6 linked regions of the Macaca fascicularis genome follow. The protein of the gene in region 1 interacts with the protein of each later gene in a pairwise test. Links are inferred from orthologs where the notes say so. Each region holds a gene or a part of one and is shown on either strand. Other genes may lie near its edges. The genes, in order: TRIP10, WAS, ARHGAP12, ABL2, ARHGAP17 and SH3BP1.

Region 1 (3,500 bases):
GGTTTCACCGTGTTAGCCAGGATGGTCTTGATCTCTTGACCTCAGTATACCATCTTTAAAAACTGGAAAATTCTGTGTTCCAAAATACATTCGAGGTCCAGTGCAGTGGCTCACACCTGTACTCCCAGCACTTTGGGAGGGTGAGGCGGGAACAGGCGGAGTTCGGGGGGATTGGAGTTTGAGACCTCATCTCAAAAAAAAAAAAAAAAAAATTAGTCAGGTATGGTGGCGTGTGGCTGTGGTCCCAGCTATTTGGGAGCCTGAGGTGGGAGGATCACTTGAGCCCAGGAGTTTGAGGCTGCAGTGAGACACGATTATGCCACTGCACTGCAGCCTGGGTGACAGCAAGACCCTGTCTCAAAAAAAAAAAAAAAAAAAAATTCTACTCAAAGGTTGGGGTTAAGGAATATGGACCACAACTTGTCATTGCTTCAAGGATTAAATTCTTGGGGCTTAACCCTTTTCCACCTGGAGGTGCGTCCTGGGGCATCAGCCTATTTGGGGGGCCTGACTCCCTGTTCCCCGATTCTCATCCTACCCCAGATTCAGCCAGCAACAGTCCTTCGTACAGATTCTCCAGGAGGTGAATGACTTTGCAGGCCAGCGGGAGTTGGTGGCCGAGAACCTCAGTGTCCGTGTCTGTCTTGAGCTGACCAAGTACTCACAAGAGATGAAACAGGAGAGGAAGATGGTGAGGAACTCCCCTCCGATTCAGGTTTTGGGAAGGGCTCCTGCTGGAACTCTGGCGAGCCTTATCGCTCTTCTTTCTGTAGCACTTCCAAGAAGGGCGGCGGGCCCAGCAGCAGCTGGAAAACGGCTTCAAACAGCTGGAGAATGTGAGTTTGCAGAGGTGGCAGTGACTGTGGCCCGGAGGCACGGGGGTCAGGGTTGCAGATCCTGGAGTCAGGGACCTGCCCTCTTTGTCAGACCTGGTCCTTCCCTGCCCCATAGGCTTCTAGTACGCCCTTGTCCCCTACTTACTGGTTGACATCCCAACAATCCCTGAAACCTTGGTTTCCCACCCTGCTGTCTTTGGGAGGGTGGCTCCCTCACTCTGGTTCTGTCCCCTACCCTACACAGAGTAAGCGTAAATTTGAGCGGGACTGCCGGGAGGCAGAGAAGGCAGCCCAGACTGCTGAACGGCTAGACCAGGATATCAACGCCACCAAGGCTGACGTGGAGAAGGTGTGTGAGGGGGTGGCGGGGTCTGGGACAAGCTTAGGGGGTCCGGGTGGGACGTGACCAGAACCTGGTAGTACCTTCCACCTCCTCATTCCTCAGGCCAAGCAGCAAGCCCACCTTCGGAGTCATATGGCCGAAGAAAGCAAAAACGAATATGCAGCTCAACTGCAGCGCTTCAACCGAGACCAAGCCCACTTCTATTTTTCACAGATGCCCCAGATATTTGATGTGAGTGCTCCCAGTTCTCAGACCTACCTTCCCAAAAGCCCCCAAATGTTAGCCAACTCCTGCACATTCGTCAAAACCCCAGCTGCAATGTCCCAGTCCCTAGATTGAAAGGGAATCAGAAACCTATCATAACAGCGAGCTGTGCTTTTAATCAGCTGTTCTTCCTGCTGGGCATGCCTTTTACTTGTTTGTTTATTTACTTCTATAGAGAGATGGGGCCTGGCTCTGTCACCCAGGCAGGAGTGCAGTGGCGCAATCACAGCTCACTGCAGCCTGGAACCCCTGGGCTCAAGCAAGGTTTCTTTCCTTTTGAAATTCCTACTTATTATTTTAAGCTCCACCTCTAACAACCTCTCTGAAAGGTCTCGAATTTCCCCTCTCCTGTTTCAATCTAGTGCTCCATTCTCTGTCCCATCCCAGGCCCTGGAAGTATCAGGGCTGGTTCTGCTTTTTCTTCAAATCCCTGCTCCTTTGTCTCCTCCTTTGAGAAGCCTTTGCTGACCCCCTAGGCAGGCGTCCCCCTCTGAGATCCCCCTGGCACTGTGTCGCTCCCCAACCACACTGGGCTGGAGTCTCTTCTCTTCCTGACTCTGTCTTCCCCTCCAGACTGGCTTGGGGTTGGGGCCAGCGTGGAGTGCGATCATATTTGCAGAGTGAATCACTGTGCTTCTAGTCCCTCTGTTAGCACCCCTGAGCCACCCTTGTCCCCGTCCCTACAGAAGCTCCAAGACATGGATGAACGCAGGGCCACCCGCCTGGGTGCCGGGTATGGGCTCCTGTCGGAGGCCGAGCTGGAGGTGGTGCCCATCATCGCCAAGTGCTTGGAGGGCATGAAGGTGGCTGCAAATGCTGTGGATCCCAAGAACGTGGGTGCCTGGTCTGGGTCCAGTGGGCCATGGGAAGGGCGGAGGGAAGTCCCCATACGCTGGTCACTTGACTACTCATCCACTGTCCCCCTCCCCCAGGACTCCCAAGTCCTTATAGAGCTGCACAAGTCAGGTTTTGCCCGCCCGGGCGACGTGGAATTCGAGGACTTCAGCCAGCCCATGAACCGTGCACCCTCGGACAGCAGTCTGGGCACCCCCTCGGAAGGACGACCGGAGCTCCGAGGCCCAGGCCGCATCCGCACCAAGCGCTGGCCCTTTGGCAAGAAGAACAAGGTGGGGGCCGGGACCCTTGGGATGGTGGGGGAGAAGGACAGTGAGGTGGGGACAGTGGGGCCCCTGTTGAGTCAGCCCCAGCCGCCTGAACGCCGAGTCCCGGGCAGGAATTTTCCTCTTGGCTGCCAGCCCGGGCTGGAGGGAAGGAAGGCGGGCGGGCCGCTTGGCCTGGGAGTCCCCCGAGGCGAAGGCGGGGGCAGGGTGGGGAGGTCTGTGGCGTTTGTCTGCTGCTTCTCGGGATGCTGGGAGAAAACCTGCTGGTGGAATTCAGAGCTGGCCTGAGGGCTGGTGACACCATCCCTGGGGACTCCCCGAGTTTCTCTCTCCATCCTGCTGATGGGACTCCGGGAGCTGCCCTGCACGTCCTGGTTTCTTGGGTTTTTGGATTTTAATATACCTTAGCACCCTTGGTTTATACCTTTGATTTATACTCTGGGTCCCTCTTGACTTACACTCTCATACCTCTCCTTGACTTCCACCTGCGATCCCCGAGCTTAAACCTCTGACGCCGCTAACCCCTCTCATTTTCCTGCCTTCCACTCCCTCTCAGCTTGTGGTTTTATTTTTGTTTATCTTTTGTGTCCTCCGTGGCCTCACACCTGTCTGAGACCTCGATTCCTGCATGCGTCTTCTAGACTGTCAGCCCAGAAAGCTAAGTGGACAGAGATACATGGGTCTGCCTGCCTCCTGGACCCATGCTTGCTCCCGGACATAACATTCCAGAGACCTAGGAGATACCGGGGGTGTGAGAGTTCTGGCTTTTGGGCTTACAGTTCAACGTCCTCCCCGCCACCTTCCAAATGTTTTTGTGTCGCTCCTGCATGCGTTTTCTCTGTGTGATTGTGTATCTTGAGTTGTGGTTTTCTTACCGTTTTTTTCTTTCTCCATTTTGTTTTTCCTTTTTTCTTTTCGCGTCCATCCGTCCATCCG
Region 2 (2,568 bases), on another chromosome or scaffold:
GTGGGGGCTGCAGCGCTGAGCTCTCTGGGGCCCCAGGGGTCTGCAGCAGGCAGGGGTCAGCACAGAGGGCTCAGGGCCTGGGAAAGGAGCATTTCTCCCCGCCCCTCCATCAATATTTTCCCTCCCACACATTCCAGTACCCTTCAAGGCTTCCCACCAACCTTTCCACCCTATCACTGAATCCCCAAGGCCTGGCACTCTCCTCCGTCCTGGCCTCAGCCCTCCAGTATCCTGACTTACATGGGTACCCCAGAGTTCCAGACCCCCAATCTTCCATCCTACTTGTCCTCACCTTGTTCAGCTGAATTCCCTGCCGGATTTGATCCAAAAGCGCTCCCCGACCCCCACCAGGGGCCAGGCCCCCGGCAGGCACCAGAGCAGGAGGGAGTAGGGGAGGGGCTGGTCCATTCCCGGAGCTGGGTGGCGGTGGCGGTGGTGGTGGTGGTGGTGGTGGCATGGGTGGCCCACCAGCTCCAGGGGGTGGTGGGGGTGGTGGTCCAGAACGTCCAGTAGCTGGAGGGGGTGGTGGTAGAGGGCCCCCTCGGCCTGGGGGTGGGGGTCCCCGGGGCGTTGGTGGGGGTGGGGCAACCCCCAAAGGTACAGGGGGCAGTGGACCAGAACGACCCTTGTTACCCCCCACAATAGGGGGCCGAGGGGGCTGGTTCCCTCCTCGAGATGGCGGTGGGGGCGGCGGAAGTGGCTCTGTGGAGGGAGTATAACACATAGCTGTAACTTTCATTGATTTCTTCTGAGCCTCAGTTTTGCTCATTTGTAAAATGGGTACCCCCACTGACCAACTCCTGACTGAAGCAGTATAGGTGCTCCCATAAGGACTGAGTGACTTAGTGAATCTCTTAGCTATGAGCTGCTAGGGCTGGAGAAGGGAACGTATGGAAGCAGGGGCTCACCCTGGCGCCTCATCTCCTGCCGCACAGCCTCCAGCCCACCCTGGTCCTCAATGAAGTCGTAGATAAGTTTAGAGGTCTCGGCATCGGTGAGCTGGGCCTCGCTGATTCCTGCCCTGGAGAACAGACTCCGTAGATCTGGGTCGAGGTTGTTCACCTGCCCAGGAGGAAAAAGGCCAGGGGCGGGAGTAGAGGAATAAGGTGAGGAGAGCAGCGACACGGATTGTCGTTGGGTTCATCCCAGCAAGGGATCTGAGAAGGGTGTGGGAAGGGCACGGTCTGGGCGTGGGGTCTCAGCAGTGGTCTTTGGAAGGGTGGGTGGAAGTTTAGTGGAGTCCGAGAGACTCTGAAGTTACTCACGTCAAATCCATTCTGGGGGTCCCACCCCACATGGGTGACATGCCTGGGAGAGGTGAAGAGACTCCAGTGAATCCCCACTGCCCTTCCTTCCCTCCTTTTGTAGTGAAGCCCTCTTGCCCTCTCCTGCTCAGAGAGACTCTGAGGGGCCAGAATTAATGAATGAGACTGAATGAATGAATGAGTATGGGCAGCAGTTACGGAATTAGAAGGGCTTCATAGTTTGTGGTGCTGATCCATTCACCCATCCCTCTTTCCCCATCTATTCACCCACGCATTTGTCCACCTATTCATTCACATTCATCTGTTGGATTACTGATCTGTCCATACATCTGTCTCTGCAACTATCTGCCCACGTTTGTCTGTTCACCCATTTGTCCACCAATCTGTCCTCACACACACTTGTCCATCCGCCCATCCACCTACCCATGTGCCCACCTTTCCATCTATCCATTCACACATTTTTCTACCCATGCAACCACACACTTCTGTTCACTTATCCATTGAACTGTCCATTCATTCACATATCTGTCCACCTGTGCCATCCCCATCCACCTTGTCTGTGAGCCAATCAGCCTGCATATCAATCTGTCCACACACTCATCCACTCACCCATCCATCTACCATGCACCTCCCATCAACCCATCCACCCATCAACCTGTCCGTCCAACCACTTACCCATTCATTCTTCAACCCATTCATTCATCCATTTATTTATCCATCCATCCACCCATCCACTCACCCACCTACCCACCAGCCCCCCTCATCCATCATCTGCCTCATCTATCTATCCATTCATTCACCTGCCCACCCACCTGCTCCCCTAACAGCCCACCCAGAGTGGGCCCAGGCTGAGGCAAGTGAGGTGCCTAGGGTGCAAAATTTAAGTGAGTCACTCACTCTCAGAGTCAGGAATTACAGTTGCATGCCTCTGAGAGTGAGTGCCTCCTTAAATTTTGTACCCTTGGTGCCTTATTTACCTCTCCCTAGACCCAGCCCTGCACCTACCCATCCATCCACTCATTTACCCACTCAGCCACCCAGCCATCTGCCCTTCCTTCCATCGTCTCAGCTGTCCACTTGTTCATGTGCCCCTCTGCCCCCAGGAATCTGTGGGCCCACTGGGGACTGGTTCTCACTTGAATCCACTGGGTGCACCAATATCAGCTTTGCTGATCTTCTTCTTCCCTGAGCGTTTCTTATCAGCTGGGCTAGGTCCAGGTGCTGGGAGCCCACGGTATCGTGAACTCGTGATGTCAGGGTTCTGGATGTCCACTGTCGCCAGCCCCAGGGAGAGCGGACCCAC
Region 3 (3,500 bases), on another chromosome or scaffold:
CAGAGACTCTTGTCTCAAAAAATAAATTAATTAAGATAAAAAAATAAAATAATTAGAAAGTAATCAGGGGACAAATGTGTTAGGACACCTAATAACTTTTACCATATGTTTTTATTCTCTTTACCCATTCAATACATACACTTGAAAAACAGTTCTTTCATCTTAACAGTTTTATAGTAGAAGAGTTGTTTCTTATATGATCAGAAGTTTAGAAAGATGCTTGTCAGAATGAAAAATAAGGGAAAAAATGAAATTGAGACAGTATGGAAGTACAGTGGGAGAGGGCAGTGGTAAAGCCAACCTCAGTGGCTGTTGGTGGTTGTGTTTGCATGTGTTTGGAGGGTGGTGCTGACCACAATCTTGATGTATAAAACTTTCCTGGTTCCTTATGGCTGTTATAAAAAAAGTTTTGCTTTTAAAAATGTAAGCAGCATTATATTCTTAGTCTTACTTCAGCGATCTTGGTTTGAGTTAATGAACTTTTTTTTTTTTTTTTTTTTTTTTTTACAGATTTAAATTGATACTGGTGTACATCTCCTTGTTCTAAGGTAATTTTTTAGTTTTTAAAACTGTATTGTATTAAATTTATTAGTCAAGTAGTTTGTCTAGAAAGTAAATTTCAGTTACTACAATTGTATCAGTGACTGACTGACCACCTGGCCTTATAGGCTTTTCGTCATAGAGAAGATTGTTATCCTCAGGAGAATGATGGTTACTACACCTGTAGTGTACAATAATATGCTCAGTACTTGTTCGCTATAGAAAATTAGTAGATTGTTATGGAACCTTGGGTTTACACATTTTTGGTAAATCTCAGTTTGCCTTAGGATCCTTGAGCATTGGGTTGAATGTATTAGTTTCCTAGGGCTGCTGTAACAAATACTACAAACTGGGGTGCTTAAACAGCAGACATGTATTTTTATTCTCTCACTGGTCTAGAGGCTAGAAGTCCAAAATCAGTTTTGGCAGGGCCATGCTCCCTCGGAAGGCTCGGGGGGAGAATCCTGCTTTCCTCACCCCTGCCTGGCTGCTGCTGGTTGCCAGCAGTCCTTGGTGTTCCTTGGCTTTTAGCTGCTTCACTCCACTCCAGTTTCTGCCTTTCTCTTCAGATGGTCTTCTCCCTCTGTAGCTTTTCTCTCTGTAAATCTCCTTCTCCTTTTTTTCTTTTTTATTTTGAGACAAAGTCTCACTCTGTCACCCAGGTTGGAGTGCAGTGGCGGGATCTTGGCCCACCACAACCTCAAACTCCTGGGCCCAGGAGATCCTTCCACCTCGGCTTCCCAAGTAGCTGGGACTATAGGTGCATGACATCACACCCAGCTAATTTTTGTAATTCATGTAGAGGCAGGGTTTCGCCATGTTGGCCAGGCTGGTCTCAAACTCCTGGGCTCAAGCCGTCCACCTGCCTCAGCCTCCCAAAGTGTTGGGATTACAGGTGTAAACCACTGTGCCCTTAATCTCCCTCTCCTTATAAAGGCACCAGTCATTGGATTTTGGGGCCCACCCTAATCAAGTATGACCTTGTCTTGGTTACATCTGCAAAGACCCTCTTTACAAATAAAGTCACAGATCCTGGGGTTAGAACTTGAACTATCTTTTGGGGGAACACAATTCATCCCCAACAGGTGGGAACTGGCTCATGCTGTAGTGATATGAGGATGCAGTGATCATTTAAACCCATAATGCTGTGTTCTAGGAGGTACTAAAATATTTTGGAATTGGTATAGAAATGAAAGTAAATGCATATTAGTTGTTATTAGTGAACTTTTCTAAGAAGGTGAAGGAGGTTTGAGGGAGTCATGAAAGGAAGGAAAGTTTTTCTCAACTCTTGTGTCTGCCTAATTAGTGTATATTTACTGTTCCAGTTATTGGCTTTTGTTTTGGTCATAAGTGACTGAAAAATGTAGATTACAGTTAGAATGAAAGTGTTTTTAATGTGGCAGTGCATATGATATTAGTCACATGTTTGCTTTTTGGGGTTTGAGATTTGAAGTAATGTTCTTTAAATGGCCTATACTGTATGATGCTTGTGAGTAAGTACCAAATCCAGATTGCATTAACTTTTTTCTTCATTCTCTTCCTCCATTTAAATAAAACAGCTATATTCATCCAACAAGTCATAAAGCCATAATGTGGTATAACATCCTTTTTGAGAGGTGAATATTATTGAATGAAAATGGCTGACAGAAGTGGGAAGATTATTCCAGGACAAGTGTATATTGAGGTGGAATATGATTATGAATATGAAGCAAAGGATAGAAAGATTGTGATAAAACAAGGGGAGCGGTACATCTTGGTGAAAAAGACCAATGATGACTGGTGGCAAGTCAAGCCGGATGAAAACTCCAAAGCGTTTTATGTGCCAGCCCAGTATGTGAAAGAGGTCACGCGCAAAGCTCTAATGCCACCTGTTAAGCAGGTAGCTGGTCTACCAAATAACTCCACGAAAATAATGCAGAGTTTGCATCTTCAGAGATCAACAGAAAATGTGAACAAATTGCCTGAGCTTTCAAGTTTCGGAAAGCCGTCGTCGTCTGTTCAAGGAACAGGTCTTACTCGTGATGCCAATCAGAATTTTGGACCCAGTTATAATCCAGGTCATACTGTCAACCTAAGCCTGGACCTGACCCATAATAACGGAAAGTTTAACAATGACTCACATTCTCCTAAAGTTTCCAGCCAGAATAGGACACGCTTATTTGGTCATTTTCCCGGTCCAGAGTTCTTGGATGTAGAGAAAACTAGCTTCTCCCAGGAACAATCTTGTGATTCCGCAGGAGAAGGCTCTGAAAGAATACATCAGGATTCTGAATCTGGTGATGAACTTAGCAGCAGCTCCACTGAACAGATAAGGGTAAGATTAAAAATAGAATGAGGAAACACTTGTACCACCCTAGTGAAAATATTATAGTTTTTCTTTTAATTGAAATATTTATAAGAGTTAAGACTTGTTTTGCTTTGTATTTTCAGAGTACATGGGTTCTATCCTGATTTAAAGATCTAGAAAATATGTGAAATAACTTGTGGAGTTCATAAAGGGTCACTTTTTGGTTTTCATAATTATTCTTATACCATAACAGGACTAGATCTACTTTAAGTGTGGAAACTTCTTTTTCCCTTTTCTCTATTGATTATGTATAAGGCAGAGGGAATTTACTTAATTTACTCAGTGATGATATTTCTTCTAATAGAAAAAATTTTTACTGTTTTCTACCTGTACCCATTTTGACTTGTTTCCAAGAAGTCTTCAGGTAATAATTGGTTATCTGAGGAAAGATGTCATTGGAATATTAACTGCTCACTTTTGTCTTAAGTGTCTAAGTATCCACAGTTGATTTCACTGAATATTAGCCTGGAAAAATTTTTCTGTGTTCCTGGTTCGTTTTTTTTTTTTTTTTTTTTCTTAAAGACAAGGTCTTGCTCTGTCGCCCAGGCTGTAATGCAGTGGAACAGTCATGGGTCACTGCAGCCTCGACCTCCTGGGCTCAAGCGATCTTCTC
Region 4 (4,117 bases), on another chromosome or scaffold:
TGGCCACACCCTGGATGGCAATGGAATAATTTCATAGTGCTTTTATAACAGGCAATATCTACGTCAGTGGATGGTTCATCTAAGTTCAACCTGGTTCAGGAAAGATATGCAAAGGAGAGCTCCATCCACCTCCTCTCCCAACCCTACCTTTCCAGTGGTTGTTTTGTTCCTTCTTTGCAGTGGCTCCCGTCCTGTCTAATTTAAGCAAAATTTCAGTGTTTTTTTTTTTTTTTTTTTACCTCCATTAACTTATACTTTTCATAAAGCAAATTGGGAAGCCAAAAGAATAACAGGAGAATGATCGAGCTTTTTGAGAATTAAAAAATTTGAATTAACATTAAGATGCAAGTAAGCACCGTGGGAGAGGGGCATGGCGAGTCAATTGTATATAGTATACGTGTGTGTATAAAACACTTCTTTCCTGCCTCATTCACCCTCTTTAGACCGCATAAGCTAACATGAGTAAGTTCTGACTCAGAAACAGGGTCAAAGATGTATATTTTTTCTCCTTTGTCATCAAAAGAAGACCTGACCACGTGCACAGTGTATAAAGGATGCCAGTGGGAAGATTAACTTTACTGTCAGGCATTGTAAGGGAAACAGAAACTCACATGTGGTGAGATAGGAGTTCAAGAGGAATTCATGGTAATATAATATGAGGAATGGGGCTACAATTGCGTCCCCAATGAGACTATAGAAGGCACACAATCCAGGCGAGTGCGATTTAACATCATGAAATAATCTCCAAAAATTAAAATCAAATAAGGTAGCATTTTACTCTCTTCTTGTAAATTTTATACCATTTTAATTTTTACTGGAGGCCTGCTGCTGACAAGGGTATTTAAAGGGATCCCCCTGGGCATTTCAGAGATCCTCAACTGGATGGCAAGGACCAAATAAATGCCTTGTGCTTTTCTGCCCCACCTGTGCCTGCACCTGAGGGGCGCACGCGGGGGCACTCAGCCCTCGACTCACTGATTTGACAGGTGGAAGTGGGATGGGGAAGGCCGGAGACCGACCAACCCCAAAGGCAGTAGCGTGTGGAGCCGAACGTGGGAGGGGGTCGGCTGAGGCGGATTGAGGGGTGGGATGCCGAGGTGCGGCGACAGGACTCGGAGGACGAAAGACTGCAGCAGCGGTGGTCGCCAACTGAGGTGGGCACTGGGGGACCCACCCTGCGAAGAGGCGGGGGCGGGGGCGCGGCGCGGCAAGGCGGGGCGGCAGCCGGGAAGCCCTCCTTCCCAGCGGCGGAGGTGACTGGCGGGCGGGGGGCGGGGGGCGGGAGACGCTCTGTCCCACGCTTTCCCAGCGCTCGGTGGTTTAAAGATGGCGGCGGCGGCAGCGGCGGCGTTTGGGGCGCGGAGCCGCGGGAGGAGGAGGGAAAAGCAGAATCTGTGAGTCGCCTGGAGGCAGTGCGGCGGCTGCCGTGAGGAGTCCGGGTGCGGAGCCGCCGGCGCCCCAGCCTCTCAGGGCCAGGGTCTGGGCTGGGAGGGAGAGGCCGGAGCAGCGCCAGGAGCCCGAGGCCGGAGTCGAGGAGGAATGTGACCAGGGGTCGGCGGGGGCGCGGGAGTACGCGAGAGCAGGGATGGGGCAGCAGGTGGGCCGCGTCGGGGAGGCTCCGGGGCTCCAGCAGCCTCAGCCCCGCGGGATCCGGGGCAGCAGTGCAGCCAGGCCCTCCGGCCGCAGGCGGGACCCGGCGGGGCGCACCACAGAGACCGGCTTCAATATCTTCACCCAGCATGGTGAGTGTGTCCGGGAGCCGGCGTGAGGGCGTGCGGGAGGCCGGGGGTGGGGTCGGGGCGGGGTGGGTGACGGACGGGCTGCCCGGGGGGTCGGGGGTGGAGGGTGCCTGAGAGTGGGGGCGGAATCTGCTGCCATCTGGTTCAGTCCTGGGAGGCGAGTCACACCCCTCCCCCCTCGCGTCTCCAGCTTGGCTGGCAGATCCCGGGGGCGGAGAAGGAAAGAGAAGTGGGCTTGGGGACCCTGGATGGTCTGTCCTCTACTCTGGGACGGGACTATGCGGCTGGAGAAAGAGAGTGAATGGCAGCTTCAGGAGAGGGAAGGATGAAGGGCAGTATGAGCTCAGTCCCAGAGGTGGGAGCATAAACCCGTCGTTAGTGAAGGGGAAATGGGTTGTGTCCTAAGGGACTGGGAAATAGGAACCGAATTTCAGGAGATTGTGGCGTAGAAGGTAATGTGTTTACGTCAGGTGATGAGCAGTGTCACGATAGTGAACTGTGGAGTGCCCAGAAATGCCTTTCTGTAGGAAAGATGAAGGTAGCATCTCATCACTTTTGACATGCTTTTGTGGTTTGTTTTGTTTTGTATTTCGTTTTTACTAGAAGTGAAAGGCTTTGCCAAAGCCTCTGTACTATGCTTCAGAGTAGGACACACAATTCTGAGATTGCTGGCAAGGGTTAGAGGTTGGTGGGCATGGTTAGGACTTCAGTCAGTATTTTTCCCCTTCGTAGTGTGTGTGTGTTCGCGTGCCCATATACATACTTACATGTATGTGTGCTCCCTGTAGTCTGAAACCTATTATTTTGATCTCATTGTCAATGTATTTTTAGAATAGTTGTCTCCAAACTGTTGTTGTTTTTTTTTTTTTTTTGAGACAGAGTCTCGCTTTAGTGCGCATTATGGAGTGCAATGGCGGGACCTCGGCTCACTGCAGTCTCCGCCTCCCGGATTCAAGTGATTCTCCTGCCTCCCGAGTAGCTGGGACTGCAGGTGCGCACCACCACGCCTGGCTAATTTTTGTATTTTTGGTAGAGACGGGGTTTTGTCATGTTGGCCAGGCTGGTCTCGAACTCCTGACCTCAGGTGATCCGCCTGCCTTGGCCTCCCAAAGTGCTGGGATTACGGGTGTGGGCCACCTTTCCTTGCCGCAACTCTTTTTTTTTTTTTTTTGAGACAGAGTCTCATTCTGTCACCCAGGCTGGAGTGCAGTGGCACGATCTTGGCCCACTGCAACCTCCGCCTCCCAGGTTCAAGTGATTCTCCTGCCTCAGCCTCCTGAGTAGCTGGGATTACAGGCGCCCGCCACCATGCCTGGCTAATGTTTTGTATTTTTAGTAGAGATGGGGTTTCACTATGTTGGCTAGGCTGGTGTGGAACGCCTGACTCATGATCCACCCGCCTCAGTCTCCCAAAGTGCTGGGATTACAGGCATGAGCCACTGCGCCTGGCCACATGTCTCCTATTAAAGATGTGCTTGAGTGTCTCTTTCAGGTATATGAACACTTTGTGAAGGTGATATATGAGCTAATCTTTATTAAAATGACTTCCTAAAACATAGGATGGAAGAATGGATTAGTAGTTTACAGGGAAGAAATCATCCAAGTAAGCTTCACTTTGTGGGAAGTGTTACTATGCATTAAACTTGGCCTAGTAGGCAGTGATGATCCTCCTCCTCTACTATCTTATTCGGTATATAAGATTTTCCAAGAAAGAGGAAGTAGTGAAGAATGGAATAGGAAGACATTTTGAGGATTTGGATCCATGGAGAGGGAGAACAGGTTGGGCAGAAGAAACAACTTGAGCAAGAACATGGGAATAGATATAATTTGATGATAGGATAGTGAGGAGACATCTGTCAGGAATGAAGCATCATTATGAGTTGGAAGAAAAAGATCATAGAGCAAAAATTGGAAGAGTCGAGTTCTGGTTCTGGCTCCACCTGGCTGGGTGATTTTAGTCACCATCTTTGGGTTTCTTTATCTGTAAAGTGAGGAGGTTGGACTGGATGATCTCTAAGATACTTTCTGATTTTAAGATTTTATGATTCTAATTAAGAAGCAGTAGAAAGAAAATTTTGATAGGCTGGATGGGACTGGGTTATGGAAAATCTGGCAGAGAAGTTTATATTCGTTTACCTGCTTGGCTAGTCTTCACCTGAAAGACTGGCCTTGAGTGGTGGCAGTGGAAATAGGAGGAGTAATTTCAAGGGGCCTTTCATTCATTCAACAAACAAGGGGTTTTTTTGAGCACCTATTACATACTAGGTTGTGGGAATGTTGCTGTGAACATAACAGAGTCCCTGCCCTTTGGAACTTAAAGGACTTTATGATTTGATAGAGGATGAAAGAAGAGAGATCACTTTGGAGTATTTGTTAAG
Region 5 (3,500 bases), on another chromosome or scaffold:
AAAAAAAATTTTTTTTTAGAGACGGGGTCTCACTACATTGCCCAGGCTCTCAAACTCCTGGCCTCAAGTAATCCTCCTGCCTTGGTCTCTCAAAGTGCTGAGATTACAGGCATAAGTCACCACGTCTGGCCCATTTCCATACTTCCTAGTTCCCATCTCAAATCTGTTTTTGGGGAATGAAACAGAAGTCAAGTCCAGAAGGCCTACCAATGGTAGTATAAGGTTATCACACCACACTGCCTCTTAACTGAGATGAGATGTAGAAACAACCCTATGTGCATATGCAAACCCTACATCTGAAAGACACAGAAGGCTGGAAAAGCTGGGCGCGGGGGCTCACATCTGTAATCCTAGCACTTTGGGAGGACAAGGCGGGAGGATCGCTTTAGCTTGGAAATTCAAGACCAGCCTGGGAAACATTGTGAGGCCCTGTCTCTACAAAAAACTTTTTTTAGAAAATCAGCTAGGTGAGGTGGTGTGTGCCTGTTAAGTGGCTGAGGTGGGAGAGCTGCTTAAGCCCAGGAGGTCAAGGCTGCTGTGAGCCATGTTCATACCACTGCACTCCAGCCTGGGCACATAACCCTGTCTCAAAAAAACAAAAAACAAAAAGACTGGAAAAAACTGTTGCTTTGAGGAAGGGAATGGTGGCTGGATGCGGCTGGAGGATAGGGTGGAAGGAAGGCTGACTTTTCACTTAAGCCCACTGATCTATGAACTTAGCAACTTTTTCTTTCAGTTCAGAAAGTAAAAAGATACCTGGCTTCCTGAGCTTGTGCTTACTGGCTCAGCTGGCAGGGAGAATACACAAGGCAGGTAACTGAGAATTGTCTGCCATGTGCTAACTAGACTCATGCACTGTTTTCTGTAACTTAAAATATATGAAAGCTAATTTTGTTACGGGTAGAGTTTGTCATCAGGAAATACTACTGAATGTATGAACGAGGGTTCAGAGAGGTAATATGTCACACAGAATAAATGTGGATTTTGGACGGACAGAATACGGACAGAATAATGCATTCTCCTTTGCTAGGGGTAAAAAGCGCAAAACCAAGAACAAGAAACAAATAAACAGCACACCTCACTATAAGATTGAGCAATTAAAATAAGAGTTTGTTACTTTGTTTTAATGTAAAACTATTTCTAGTAATATTGTTTCATATACCAAGACAAACATATTACTTCCAACAGGCCTCTTAACTGTTAGCATTCCTAGTGAGTACAGTGGCATTTCATCACACACATGGGACAGGTTGGCATCTAAAGGTACAAATCACAAATAGTTTTAATTACCCTTGAAAATCCCATGAATTGCCCATAGAAAAGAGTATATAGAGACACACTGCTTCTCACTAAGTTCAATACTGCCATTTTTTTTTCTTCTAGAAGTGGCAAATACTGAGGTTTTCCCCACTGAACATCAAATTCAGTGGTTGGCTTCCATTGTGGGGCCATTATTACACCAGAAATATGTCTCCTTAAATACCAAATCACTCAACTCACTGTGCCAGGTGGGTGTTCTCACACTCAATTCTGGACAAAAGTCCACACTATCAAACTGACTTTCCTTTCTCTTTCCCCCCACTCAAGGACATTTAGGTCAATTTTAACATGTGTATGATGCTGTCCCACTGCAGGGTTTACCAAGTACACCACCAAGTTAAGCTGGAATACACGTGGAAGAAAGGTTAACTGACAAGCTTTACACACTGACTTTATGGGGAGATCAGTGCTTGGAATGACCTACAGCAGAATTACAGAAACTATCTGGATGCCATCAGCCACAGGTGGATGGGGACCACTCTCAAATCCCAAGTCCATTGAGCGATACCAGATACCATGGGTCTAACAATATATTTACTGCTGGTTTGGAAGTGAATGGTCGAATCATACCTTTCCTTCTTCATCAGGTCTCCTTCCATCACCGCCATGCTAGCAGGCCGCTTCCTCTCCAGGGTCCCCGAGTCAGAGTCGTTTCCAGTGTGGGAAGAGTGATTAGAATTCGGGGTGGTGAGAGGTACAAATGCTTCCGATACATTAAATTCCACCTCTGCAAGAGGAAAAATAAACAAGTGTATGAGACACGGAGCACAGCAGGCGAGGGAGCTCTAGGACACCCCTCATTGGAACGGGGACCTCATTCTTCAGTCCACAGTCCCCACTATTTCAAAATGGAAGCTCCAGGCACTCATGTGGCAAGAATGGTCCATCAAACCAGTGGGAAGTAACAAAAGAGGACAAGACAGGGGAAGAAGTATGGGTCAGAATATAAGTTACACAACTTTTGTGCTTTCTCCTTTGTGGAAAAAAAAATACAAATCTAGAATGCAGAAGAGGATGATGAACACAGATCACTTATTTAAATCATTCAAAGAGATATTTAGCTGGGCATGGCGGCTCATGACTGCAATCCCAGCACTTTGGGAGGCTGAGGCAGGCGGATCACTTGAGGTCAGGAGTTCAAGACCAGCCTGGCCAAGAAAGTGAAACCCCATCTCTACTAAAAATACAAAAAATTAGCTGGGTGTGGTGATGTATGCCTGTAAACCCAGCTATTCAGGAGGCTGAGGCAGAAGAACTGCTTGAACTTGGGAGGCAGAGGTTGCAGTGGGCCGAGATCTTGCCACTGCACCCCAGCCTGGGTGACAGAGTGAGACTCCGTCTCAAAAAAAAAAAAAAAAAAAAAATTTATACTTTGATATAAAATAGAAATATAAGGCAACATAAAGTTAATGACATTGAAGGCACCCCTCCCGAGGAAATCTCAACTGCACAACCTCCTACTATGCCCCAATGCAGCAGAAAGCAGTTAGAGCGGTCGTCAGCCAACCTCCCCAACAGCACTTGGGTTTTCCTGTTGAGAGGGGGGACTGAGAGAGGACTAGCTGGATTTCCTAGGCCGACTAAGAATCCCTAAGCCTAGCTGGGAAGGTGACCGCATCTACCTTTAAACATGGGGCTTGTAACTTAGCTCACACCCGACCAATCAGGTAGTAAAGAGAGCTCACTAAAATTTGCTAATTAAGCAAAAACAGGAGGTAAAGAAATAGCCAATCATCTATTGCCTGAGAGCACAGTGGGAGGGACAATGATGAGGATATGAACATTACTGGCATTCGAGCCAGCAACGGCTATCCTCTTTGGGTCTCCTCCCTTTGTATGGGAGCTCTGTTTTCACTCTATTAAATCTTGGGAAAAAAAAAAAAAGGCAACATCAAGTTTATACTGCCTCTAGCAGTTTTTGCAAGACTCATTTCCTCAAAGGAAATCTTGAGCAGAATGCTAGCCTTCATTCATCCATCCCATCTTCCAGGGGCAACATACAAGAATGAGGCGTGACTCTTGATGGTGACAAAACAGTGGTGAAGAAAAGACGGGTATCGTGGGGCTTGCACCCCACGGGACATGGCAGCAGGGCTGCTCTGGGGGAAGTAGGTGTGGGGGATCCAGAGTTCTAACACTTGCCTGGCCAGCATCCCCAAAGGGGGCCATGGGAACCTCTG
Region 6 (4,203 bases), on another chromosome or scaffold:
AGGCCAGCCCCTTGGGGGCAGGTGAGGAGGGAACCCAGGAATGCCACAGTCCCAGATGAGAGTGGAAACAAGATGACAAGGCATGGTGTGGGTGACATTTCCCTGAGACCATGGATGGAGCCCCTCCCCATCTGGAGTGCCCTTTTCCTCTTCCCAGAAGCCACTTGACTGGGCAGGAAGGGATGACCAAGTCCTACTGCAGACTGGGAAACTAAGATGCAGGGAGGGCAGGGAGCTTGCCCCAGGTCACACGGGTGGAGGGAGAATGGGAGGGGGAGCTGGCCTGGGAATGGGGGCTCTTTCCCCTGTGCCAGGGTATATGTGGCTGACCTAGCCACTGCTGAGCTCAAACGCCCTATGACTCCCAATTTCCTTGTCTTGGCCACACTGAATTGTCAACTGATTCCAAAACATGGCCCCACACTCCCACCCCATCTGGAGTTACGGAGAATGCCTGCTTTGGGATCAGAGACCAGGGTTCAAACCTCAGTTCTGCCACTTACTGGCTATATGACCTTGGGCAAGTGACTTTACCTCTAAGCCTCCAATTCCTCATCTGTAAAACAGTGCCTTTCCCTAGGGTTGTTGCCAGTGTTCCATGAGACAATGCGCTAATATGTTAGCAATAGGCTGGCAGTTATCAGCCAATAAACACTGCCCCTTGATTAATACATGAGTATCCCTCAAAAGCCAGCTCAATTGCTACCTCCTTCAGGAAGCCCTCTGAGGCTGCCCCATTGAGAGCCTGCTCTGCATGCTGAGTGGACAGAGAAGTTCAGGTGCTGGCAGAGGCCTGGCCTTGGCTTATGGGGATTGGTGCACAGGAAAGTGGGGTAAAGGTGACAGGGAAGGTACAGGGCCTTTTGAGTGCAGTGCCAGAGAGGCCTTGGAACAGAGCAGTCTCCATGCCCTTGGTGCCACTCAGACTGGCAAGGAAACCCCAGCCCCGACTTTGCTTCCCCATTGGACGGAAGTCTCCTGCTCAGGCTCCTCCTTCCCAGGACCCCCGACTCACCACCCGCTTGTCCATGTCTGCCCCACTCTGGCCCTGCAGACAGGCCTGCAGCCGCTTGTGGACGTTGTGGGCTGCTCGCTTGGCCGGCTCCAGCCGCTGTTCTACCTGGCAAGGAGGTTTGGAGGTTAAGGATCAAGAAAAGTTGTCTCCCCCTGAGCAGGAAACTTTCTCCTGTCCCCTGGGGACCCCATGGCCAACAGCTTGAGGAATGACTCAACCCGGGCCCCTAGCTGGCATCCCCGCCCTGGCCCTCTGCTCCGACAGCCTGCACAGGCCTGCCTTCCCACCCGCCCGGCCCAGGCACGTACCTGCAGCAGGTCCTCACCCAGGAACTCAGCGGTCTCCGGGGTGCTGCGGGGGGAGAGCGCTTCTGCTGAGCCTGCCTGGGTTAGAACGCCCCCTACTCCCCCTCCCCGCAGCAGGGCACCTGGACCCCAGTGCCTCCACTGTCCCTCCCAGGTGCGGCCCGCCCTGGGTGGCCCAGTTGCCTCATCCCAGTCAGAGCACATTCCATGGGGGTGGGAATAGGATACATGGGTTTTTCCTCCTCCACCCAGGGCTGTGTCCTGAAAGAGGGCGGACAGATGAAACTGAAGGGGAGGCTGGGAGACCCACCCAGGGCCTAGCTTTGGGACACAGAAGCCTCTCTTCTGCCCACTCCCAAATCCTCGGCCCACCCCAGGATGAGGAGTATTAGCTGGCTCCAAGAACGGGAAGTGCGGGAGCTCAGAGTCCTAGGCTCAGTCACACAGCACTCTGGACTACAGCTGTGGGCAGGGGTGCACAGGCCCCTGGACCCCACCTGGGGACACATGGGGGATGCCGAGGCCCATGGCAAGGTGGCCTAACTGCCCAGGCTACGTAGGCATCTGTGCCAGTGGGAGACTAGAACTAGGTCTCTGGACACCCGGTCCCCTCCCCGGACCCAGAGAATGGGGAACTCCTGAGGCAGGGGAAGAGGAGCAGAGAAGACAGGCCCTCAGAGGCTCCCCAAACTTCCGGCGTCCGTGCTACCGGCTCAGAGGCTGGGGGTGGGAGCTGGGAGACCTGGGGATGTTTCCACCTGAGTCTGGGAAAAGCAGAAACAAGACAGAGAAGCAGGAGGCCCCTGAGGTGGGGGGAGGGGTAAGGGAACGGACGCCGCAGGCCAGGGGCAGGCCCCTCCTCCCGCCAGGCCAGGACCCGTCTCCTCCCCTCGCCCCAGGTCTGCGGCCCTAAATGGACCCTCCTCCCTCCCCAGCCCAGCAAGCAGAGGTGGTGAACTGCCCCATTGTCCAGAGGGAACAAGTGAGGTCAGGAGGACCATCCACTTAGAGACTCGTGGAGGCAGAGAAATCTGTGTCCTAGGGCAGAGAGCATTCTCCCGCCTGAAGCCCCCTCCAATCCAGTAAGGGGGGGCATCCCTTCCCGCAAAGGCCACCCCTGCTCCTCCAGCTCTGCCCGAGAGACGGGGGCGGCGTTCAGAAGGGAGGAAGAGAGGGTCTGGCCGCTCAGAGAGTGGCTGCTCAGCTGTCCCCAGTCTCCCCCATCCCCGTCTCCCCCCACCCTTTTACGACCCCTCAGGTCCTGCCGGGGTAAGAGTGGGGCTGGAAGGGGGTGACACTCACCGTCCCAAGCTGCCCGTCTGGGCCAGCTGCCGCATGCGGTGCAGCTGCCTCTTCATCATCTTGGGGGCGGGCTGGGGGCTGCGGGGTCACGGCGGGGGTCGCGGGCCCGGGCAGCCCCCGGCCCAGCCTGCCTCTCCTGCGGCGCGGCTCTCGCCCCGGATGGGTGGGCGGCGCTCTCGCTTCCTGGGCCGCCGCGCGGCTCTCGCTGGCGGCCGGCTCTCTCCTCCCCCGCTCACGACTCCGCCCCCGGCCCCCAGGTCACTCCTCTCTCCAAGTTGGTTTCCTCGCCCTCCCCCGGCTTCCGGGCCCCCCGGCGACCCCCGGCCGGGCCCCCGCTGCTGTGAGTCCGCCGGCCGCGGCCGTCCACAGGTTGTGCCCCGCTCCTCCTCCCCGCAGCGCCCCGCCCAGCCCTGGTGGCGGGAAGCAGGTAAGCCCGTTCCTGCCCCCGCGCCCGCAGCCCGCCCCAGATGGGGTGCCTGCCCCACCCGCAGCCGGCAGGCCCAGGGTATAAATAACCTTTGCATCCCTCGCAAAGGGGAAAGAGGGTGCCAAGCGAAGGAGGGATGGGCCTTTCTGACCTGTCCTGGCCCCTCTGGACTTGCAGGGATACTGCCCTGCACTCCCTCCCGCAGAGGACCTCTGGCCCCCTGGAACTAAACCCCCCACCACTCGATGACTGGCTGGAAGCTTTGGCTTCCTGGGGCCAAGGGCTGCTGTGTGGCCGTGGACAAGTCCCTGGAACTCCAGACTCGCTTGTCTCTAATGGTCTAATGGGCCAGCTGTCCTGGGCCTGCCCATCCCGCAGAGTGGACAAGACACCCCTGCCTGCTCCTTTTAAGGGAGGTGTGTGCCATCCCCCCAGCCACCAGGAACCCTCCCAGAGCAGTTCCCGACACCCTGTTCTCCACATCTCCCGGCAGTTTGCTCCATCTGTGAAGCTCATCTCCTCTCATTCCTCCTGGCAAATGGCCTCAGTCCCTCTTCCTTCTTGTAGGGCAATGATGTGGGTGCTGCTCTGACGGCCCCCAAACTCAGTAGTTCTCTTTGGCCCTCCCCTCAACACAGAGTTAGGCATACAGTAGTTGCTCCATAACTGCTGGTTATACAAAATGTGAGAGCCTTTGGGAGACAGTAGGCTCTCCTTACCCTGCACTGCTGTGGCATCAGGAGCCGCAGGGGTGGGGAGGAGGGGAGGGTGTGCCGCAGAGTCCTGCCACACCCTCTGCACTTTGCTTTGTTAGTTTCAGTTTAGTTTGAGACTAGAGCCACTACTGTGTTCCGGTGCAGACTGGGCGTCTCTCAGAGGCAGGACCTTGGCCCCACACATCTCCATTCTCCTAGTGCCCAGCACTGGGCTTGGCACACTCACTGGCTGCTTCTCTCTTCCCTAATGAGGCAGGCCTCATTGGGGTGGGAGGAGCTGAGAAGGGAACCCAACAGCTGCCTGCTATGGCCAGAGCCTCCCAGACGGGAGCCCACCTGAGTGTGGAATCCTGGTAGGAAGTTGGGAGGCTCCAAGATCAAAGCTCAGGCCAGGATGAGATGTCAGGCAAGGTTCCTTCCCCCATCTCCCTTTTCCCA

Evidence for each region.
Region 2: the proteins of TRIP10 (region 1) and WAS interact in a two-hybrid assay, tested with the Homo sapiens proteins (2 studies listed by BioGRID). The link is inferred for Macaca fascicularis from reciprocal best matches to the Homo sapiens genes TRIP10 and WAS.
Region 3: the proteins of TRIP10 (region 1) and ARHGAP12 interact in binary tests that used the Homo sapiens proteins (3 or more experiments, as listed by UniProt). The two-hybrid records come from large-scale screens. The link is inferred for Macaca fascicularis from reciprocal best matches to the Homo sapiens genes TRIP10 and ARHGAP12.
Region 4: the proteins of TRIP10 (region 1) and ABL2 interact in binary tests that used the Homo sapiens proteins (3 or more experiments, as listed by UniProt). The link is inferred for Macaca fascicularis from reciprocal best matches to the Homo sapiens genes TRIP10 and ABL2.
Region 5: the proteins of TRIP10 (region 1) and ARHGAP17 interact in binary tests that used the Homo sapiens proteins (3 or more experiments, as listed by UniProt). The link is inferred for Macaca fascicularis from reciprocal best matches to the Homo sapiens genes TRIP10 and ARHGAP17.
Region 6: the proteins of TRIP10 (region 1) and SH3BP1 interact in binary tests that used the Homo sapiens proteins (3 or more experiments, as listed by UniProt). The two-hybrid records come from large-scale screens. The link is inferred for Macaca fascicularis from reciprocal best matches to the Homo sapiens genes TRIP10 and SH3BP1.

What each region holds. Positions count from the first base shown.
Region 1 is NC_088393.1:7,506,727-7,510,226, forward strand, and holds part of TRIP10 (cdc42-interacting protein 4), read left to right. Parts: intron 1-543; coding exon 544-691; intron 692-773; coding exon 774-836; intron 837-1,080; coding exon 1,081-1,185; intron 1,186-1,281; coding exon 1,282-1,410; intron 1,411-2,129; coding exon 2,130-2,276; intron 2,277-2,375; coding exon 2,376-2,570; intron 2,571-3,500. UniProt on the Homo sapiens protein: Required for translocation of GLUT4 to the plasma membrane in response to insulin signaling. Required to coordinate membrane tubulation with reorganization of the actin cytoskeleton during endocytosis.
Region 2 is NC_088395.1:48,843,038-48,845,605, reverse strand, and holds part of WAS (actin nucleation-promoting factor WAS), read right to left. Parts: coding exon 2,402-2,568; intron 1,309-2,401; coding exon 1,266-1,308; intron 1,063-1,265; coding exon 909-1,062; intron 703-908; coding exon 293-702; intron 41-292; coding exon 1-40. UniProt on the Homo sapiens protein: Effector protein for Rho-type GTPases that regulates actin filament reorganization via its interaction with the Arp2/3 complex. Important for efficient actin polymerization. Possible regulator of lymphocyte and platelet function.
Region 3 is NC_088383.1:32,630,191-32,633,690, reverse strand, and holds part of ARHGAP12 (rho GTPase-activating protein 12), read left to right. Parts: intron 1-510; 5' UTR 511-548; intron 549-2,099; 5' UTR 2,100-2,170; coding exon 2,171-2,854; intron 2,855-3,500. UniProt on the Homo sapiens protein: GTPase activator for the Rho-type GTPases by converting them to an inactive GDP-bound state.
Region 4 is NC_088375.1:36,738,370-36,742,486, reverse strand, and holds the start of ABL2 (tyrosine-protein kinase ABL2), read left to right. Parts: upstream 1-1,317; 5' UTR 1,318-1,585; coding exon 1,586-1,742; intron 1,743-4,117. UniProt on the Homo sapiens protein: Non-receptor tyrosine-protein kinase that plays an ABL1-overlapping role in key processes linked to cell growth and survival such as cytoskeleton remodeling in response to extracellular stimuli, cell motility and adhesion and receptor endocytosis.
Region 5 is NC_088394.1:24,023,613-24,027,112, forward strand, and holds part of ARHGAP17 (rho GTPase-activating protein 17), read right to left. Parts: intron 2,048-3,500; coding exon 1,891-2,047; intron 1-1,890. UniProt on the Homo sapiens protein: Rho GTPase-activating protein involved in the maintenance of tight junction by regulating the activity of CDC42, thereby playing a central role in apical polarity of epithelial cells.
Region 6 is NC_088384.1:14,000,342-14,004,544, forward strand, and holds the start of SH3BP1 (SH3 domain-binding protein 1), read right to left. Parts: upstream 2,801-4,203; 5' UTR 2,682-2,800; coding exon 2,623-2,681; intron 1,367-2,622; coding exon 1,324-1,366; intron 1,121-1,323; coding exon 1,016-1,120; intron 1-1,015. UniProt on the Homo sapiens protein: GTPase activating protein (GAP) which specifically converts GTP-bound Rho-type GTPases including RAC1 and CDC42 in their inactive GDP-bound form.